Linked DNA regions of Canis lupus familiaris. The protein of the gene in region 2 interacts with the protein of the main gene of each other region in a biochemical or structural test. Links are inferred from orthologs where the notes say so. Each region holds a gene or a part of one and is shown on either strand. Other genes may lie near its edges.

What was found.
Region 1: the proteins of PTEN (region 2) and SSR4 form a complex in vitro, tested with the Homo sapiens proteins (2 studies listed by BioGRID). The link is inferred for Canis lupus familiaris from reciprocal best matches to the Homo sapiens genes PTEN and SSR4.

The regions. Positions count from the first base shown.
Region 1 is NC_049260.1:122,795,603-122,799,694, forward strand, and holds the start of SSR4 (translocon-associated protein subunit delta precursor), read left to right. Parts: upstream 1-1,277; 5' UTR 1,278-1,338; coding exon 1,339-1,405; intron 1,406-3,303; coding exon 3,304-3,422; intron 3,423-4,092. Other genes in the region: IDH3G (isocitrate dehydrogenase [NAD] subunit gamma, mitochondrial), read right to left, coding at 878-958. UniProt on the Homo sapiens protein: TRAP proteins are part of a complex whose function is to bind calcium to the ER membrane and thereby regulate the retention of ER resident proteins.
Region 2 is NC_049247.1:38,200,528-38,202,897, reverse strand, and holds the end of PTEN (phosphatidylinositol 3,4,5-trisphosphate 3-phosphatase and dual-specificity protein phosphatase PTEN), read right to left. Parts: intron 788-2,370; coding exon 602-787; 3' UTR 526-601; downstream 1-525. UniProt on the Homo sapiens protein: Dual-specificity protein phosphatase, dephosphorylating tyrosine-, serine- and threonine-phosphorylated proteins.

The DNA.
Region 1 (4,092 bases), on a different chromosome or scaffold from region 2:
AGGGGTCAGACGGCAGAAGTATAGCAGATGTGTCCACAAGGTGTGTTAGCAAAGTCACAGGATTCTGGAAGGTCAAGGTTGGCTAGTTCCTTTGAGCCGGAGGGGAAACTGGAGTTCAGAGACAGGAGGGTGGCCATACTGTGGGTCAGTGCGGGGAGCCAGGCCTGGAGGTCATACGTCTTGACCCCTAGAGCCAGTCCGGGCTCTCTGATGCTTCCGATGGCTTCTGACTCACCCAGAGTAAACTACCCTCGCTTAAGTGTGAAAAGAAAGAGGAATGAGACCTGAATAACCAAGATCCTAAACGGAGAACTGAGGAAGCAAAGCCCCCACGGCTTCCCACCTCCCCAGTCTCAGAAAATCTAGCTCACTTCCATTTCAGGCGCCTGCGGGGAGAAGGCATCTGGGGCTATAAAGATGTCCAGGGGGAGGGTGTGGTATCAGGGATACCGGGAAAGTCCGGTTCTCCAACTCCACTGGGACAAGCGACAAAGCAGTCCGTAAGAGAAAATCCCGAGGAGGAACGGGGACTGGGAACGGGATTCCTAAGACGGCAAGAGTCCCGCGGGCCGGGACACGTGACCGCCTCGGGACCAAAGATCCCGAGGCTCCCACAATGACACTAGGAGGTGACACTTGGCCCGTTGCTGCCCACTCTCCTCGCCGGTCCGGAGCTCCCCCCGCCCAAGATGCAGACCCCTGGGAAAGCAGGACGAGGGCCAACTTTACCCAAGCCCCTCACTGACAGCAGAGGCAGCCAATCAAGTGCGGCGCCTAGCCCTCTCCCCGCCCCTCGCGGGGCCCACAGCCAATCGGGCTCCAAGACGCTCTGCAAGCCTGTGGCCTGCCAGCGAGCGCCGCAGCTGTCCCTTCTCACCTCCCAAGGACGGCAGAGGAGAGCGGGTCTGAGTACCGCCTTTGGAGCGCCGCGGACGACCGCCGCCACCTTCAGCGCCATGACGGAACGTGAGAGCCGTCGCACGTCCAGACACAGAGACACCGCTCTCGCGAGAGTTCGGCAGGGTGCGAAGTGCCGGAAGCGAGCACGGACCCGGCAGTGCGCACGCGCACGGCCGCGCCGGTTCCCACGCCCCCTTCCGGCGCGGACAGCGCCGCCGCCGCCGCCGCTGCCGCCGCCGCCGCCGCCATCTTGGTGGGGCGGCCACCTGGGCCTCTGGTCTGGGGAGGGGACACGTCAGTGCCGCCAGCGGCGTCACAGGCCCGCCCGGCCCGCGGGCGCCTGATTGGCTGCCGCTGCTGCTTACGCGTCGTGCTTCCTCGTCTGTCCCTCGTGTCGAGGGGAGTCGGTCTCTTTTTTCCCTCGGCAGAGAAGAGGCGATGGCGGCGCTGGCATCCCTCGGCGCCCTGGCGCTCCTCCTGCTGTCCAGCCTCTCCTGCTGCTCAGGTAGCGGCCTGGCCGGGGCTCCTTTCTGGCGAGCCTCTTTCCCACGACTGGTGGTGCGTGGGGGAGGAGGGGTGCGGGCGAAGCAGGGTTCTGGGCCTTCTTCCTCCGAGAGGCAGGTGGCCTCGGGGCGCGGCGACCGTTTAGCCAGCGGCCAGGCTGCGGGGGAAACAGCCAGAGATTCCTTCCGTCTCCTCCCGCGAGGAAGAGCCCCAGAGCCTGCCCTGTGCGCCCGCTTCCCAGCCCCAGCAAGGAAAGTGACACATGTCCCTGTTCCCCCTCGGAGCTCCCAGTCCCGGAGGGCGGGGGTGGGGGCGGACAAGAGCAAAACTCTGCCGCGCAGTGCGATCGGAGTGAGAAACTGGGCTGGGGGGAGAGGAGCCACTTGACCCGGTGAGGTGAGACCAGGCCTCCCCAGGCAGGGAGCTGTAAAGAGAGGAAGCAGGGACGGTCCAGGCAGAGGGACCGTGAGCATGGGCAAGTTAGATAGGAGCATCAGAAGAGGGGAAAAAGGTAGAAGAGATTGGGGGTGCGGCGCTGGGGTGCCAGGCCGGACTGTTGACTTTTTCCCTGAGGTCCTGGTGTATTGGTAAGGGGCTTTTCAGCAGAGCTGAGCCACAGTCAGATCAATGAACATTCTTGAGAGATTCTTAACACCTGGTGGCACGGTTGAGCTCAAACCGGAGTCCAGAAGTGTGTTTAGGAGGAGATCCTTGCCCGAACCACTGCTAAGCCTGGGGGGTGCTTAGACTCGGTTGGGGATGCCTTCTTCACATTCACTTCACCTGCCCTGCTCAGGCCAGAGCATTTGGTGCCTGGAGTGTTTCATCAGCCTAACTGGCATTCCTGCCTGCACCCCCCTCACCTTCCCCTTGGGGATTACCCACCGTGTAGCCTGCGATGTCTGGAAAGGACAAACCTGGCTGTGAAACTCTTGGATGTTCCTCAGGGTCCATAGGGCAAAGGCCAAGCTTAGTGGAAGCCACATATGTGGCTCCAGACAATCACTCCCTACTGATGTTCCCAGGCATCTTCCTCCAGCCCAGATTCAGGAGCTTCTCTGTCTCAGCCTAATGCATGGCTCTGCCAGGACACATTCCAAGAGCAGTTGGCTGACAACTTCCCCACTGGTTAGCATCTGCTTGGCACCCTGTGTTTTAGGCAGTGCCCTTCCTAACCTGTAGCAGTTCAGTCTCCAGCAATGTGGAGGTGGCTGAGGCAGCATCCTTTCTCTCCCGGCAGCCCTGTTAAAGGGGACAAACTGGGCCCATTTCCTTCCCTTGGGAAATGCTGGGTCCAGTCTTGGCCTTCTATCACCCGTGGCTGGAGCCAGAGACCCCTTCATCTCAAGCCTGCATGCATTGCAGGCAGCACCACGCTTGCTGTCTGCGGAGGATGCCTTCAGTAAACTGACCAGGGCCATGCGTGGCTCTGAATTGAGGTCTGTCTGCCCCTCCCCTAGGGCTTCTGGGGTGTTCCAGGGCAGGCTGCAGCCCAGAGTCATCGCATGGCTTCCCTGTCCATAGGTCGAGGCATAGGCACCAGTTGTCCAGTAAATCTATCCAGCTGCTGCTGCCCCTCTCCCCAATAAACACATAATCTTTTTCTCTTTCTCTTCCCTTCCTCCCTCTCTCTCTCTCCCTTGCTCTTCTTTTGAAAATAGCCTTTCTATCTGCCCCATCTGCCTAGCCTTCCTTCAAAACTGTCTCACCCTCCCCCCACTTACTGCTGCATTTCTGACTGAGCATTTGGATCTGTTGCCCACACCCCACCTGACAGATTGCAAAGGGCCCCATGTGCCAGCTGACAAGGTCTGGGAAGTGGGTCTGGGTGGTCCCTCCTGCCCCCCAGCCCATTACCCACGAGTTGGGCCTTACGTAGGTATGTCTACCTCCCCACAGCGGAGGCCTGCGTGGAGCCCCAGATCACCCCTTCCTACTACACCACCTCGGATGCCGTCATTTCCACTGAGACTGTTTTCATCGTGGAGATCTCCCTGACGTGCAAGAACAGGGTCCAGGTGAGGCAGTGGGGGTTCAGCCAGGAGAGTGTGGGGCAAAAGGTGGGCACTGAGCCTGGGACCTGGGGCATCAATTCCTCACTGGCAGCTGGTGGGGTCAGACCCATGTGAACAGACGGAGGGTGAGGAGAGAAAGGTCAGGGCACAGCCAGGCCAGGCTGGTTTTTTTTAAGAGATTTCATTTATTTATTCATGAGAGACACAGAGAGAGAGAGAGAGGCAGAGACACAGGCAGAGGGAGAAGCAGGCTCCACGCAGGGAGCATGACATGGGACTCGATCTTGGGTCTCCAGGATCACACCCTGGGCCAAAGTTGGCGCTAAACCTCTGAGCCACGGGGGCTGCTCCAGGCCAGGCTGTTTAAAGGAGGTGTTTAGCGCTGCCTTCAGTTCAGGGTGTGATCCTGGAGACCTGGGAGCCAGTCCCACGTCAGGCTCCCTGCGTGGAGCCTGCTCCTCCCTCTGCCTGTGTCTCTGCCTCTCTCTCTCTGTGTATCTCTCATAAAAAAATAAGTAAAATCTTTAAAAAAGGGGGGGACGCGTGGGTGGCTCAGCAGTTTAGTGCCTGCCTTTGGCCCAGGGCACGATCCTGGAGTCCTGGGATCGAGTCCCACGTTGGGCTCCTGGCGTGGAGCCTGCTTCTCCCTCCTCCTGTGCCTCTGCCTCTCTCT
Region 2 (2,370 bases):
AACTGTAGCATGCTAAAGAAAGGTGCATGAAATAGCTGGAGATGGTCTATGGTCCAGAGTTCAGCATGACAGATCTCCCTTTCTGAGCACTCCCTCCGTTCCCCTAACCCGAATACATGCATTAGAATGTAGCAAAACCCTCGAGAAACTCCTCTTAGCCAACTGCAGACTTATCTGTTGCCACAAGTGCAAAGGGGTAGGATGTGAACCTGTATATCACAAAACTCTTTAGCCACTTCAGTTGGTGACAGAACACAAAATGAGAAATTCCTACGTATACACATCAGTCTGTCTCCACTTTTTATAAAACTGGAATAAAATGGGAAAGTGCCATCTTTATTTATCCTAATTGAATTTTCAATGTCCTTTTGACACAAAAAGGTATATACATGACACAGCTACACAACCTTTTTTCAACTGGACAACAAGTGTCAAAACCCCGTGGATGTATAGGGCAAAACGAGATTGGTCAGGAAGAGAGAATTGTTCCTATAACTGGTAATCTGACACAATGTCCTATTGCCATTAAAAAAAAAAGGTCCAATTTCAGTTTATTCAAGTTTGTTTTCATGGTGTTTTATCCCTCTTGATTAAAAAAAATTCAGACTTTTGTGATTTGTGTGTGCTGATCTTCATCAAAGGGTTCATTCTCTGGGTCAGAGTCAGTGGTGTCAGAATATCTATAATGATCAGGTTCATTGTCACTAACATCTGGCGTCACAGAAGTTGAACTGCTAGCCTCCGGGTTTGATGGCTCCTCTACAGTTTTTGTGAAGTACAGCTTCACCTAGAGAAAAAAAGGCAAAGTTTAAATGGAAAGTCCAGGAATCTGACTAATCTTAAATTACTTGGCAAAGATACATATTTTTAGCAGGTTCGTTTTTAAAAGTGCTGTGGCACACAGGATCTCGAAAAGGCAATGTCTTTTCAATGACCCTCTTCTTCAGTTTTCCTCTAGGTTTTCGTGTTACACACTGAAAACATACACTAGTTAACATACTCGTCTTTAATAAGCGGAAGCTGCAAGCATTAACTAATTCCACAAGAGATGCACAGAGACTGAAGTTCATCAGTCATTTACAAAATGTATTTTCAAACACAAAATTCAATGAAAAACAGCTGAGTTCCAAAAGAATGTTTCACTTACTACCTGTCTGAATCTTTGTGCATTTTCTGATACAAATAATACTAAACAAATACAAGTATTATAAAAACACTGAGCAATAATGATGGTTAGGATCTCATTAGCCCTCGAGGTTAAGAACAGCATACAACGATCTAAGGGCCTCTGCAGGCGGTGCTGAGTAACCTGTCAAACAACTCAACAAGGCAGGTATTTCCATCTGGGAGGACAGGAAGCTAAGGCCCAGAAAGGCAAGTAGGTAGTGGATGTGAGGTTTTGATAGGATCTGCCGTGAAACCCCTGCCCTGTTTTCCAATAATCAGCATCAATTCCCCTCATCTTACATCCAGCATCCGTTCCATCAGTAAATCCTTTCAGTTCCACCTGTAGAATGCCACCTCCACCCACTCTGATGGCTTCTCACTGCCCCACTAGCGCTGCCACCGCTAGTCCAAGCAACCACTATCTCCCGTCTGGAAGAGACCACTCTAGCAACTTCTTACCTCACCTCCCATCTCTGTTCTTGCCTCCTCTCCCTAACTTTCCTCTCCAGTCCACATTTTAAAAAATATTTTATTTATTTATTTATTTATTTGACAGAGAGATAGAGAGCGAGCATGAGCAGGGGGGAGAGGCTGAGGGAGAAGCAGAAGCAGGCTCCCCGCTGAGCAGGGAGCCCGATGTGGGGCTCGATTCCAGGACCCTGAGATCATGACCTGAGCCAAAGGCAGATGCTTCATGGACTGAGCCACCCAGGCACCCCTCCAGTCTACATTTTAAAGACAAAATTCAGATGACATCCTTCCTGTGCTGAAAACACCTCAATGTCTTCAGACTCCGACTGCCACGCTTTAGTCAAAACGACTGCGTATCTACTGCTCCCCAAACATATGAGAATTATTCCCGTCTCAGAGCTCTCATCCCAGGTATTTGTACAGCTCACTCATCTCATTTAGGCCTCCGATGAAATGTCACCTTCTCTTAACTACTGAGCTAAAACATACACCAAGGTCATTCTCTATCCCACTTCTACTTTCTTTGTTCATAAGTACTTACCATCATATATCTCTGCTTACTGATAATTGAAATAGTTTTTATTTGTAAACATAAATATTTAATCTTATTAAAAAAGGAAACAAAATAGCAGCAGTCACACTTTAAAAGCTATTAATTAAGGAAAATGCAGACTTAGGTAAAAGATAGTAATGGAAACCCACGGATTCCAAAAGATAGTATCCAAAGATACT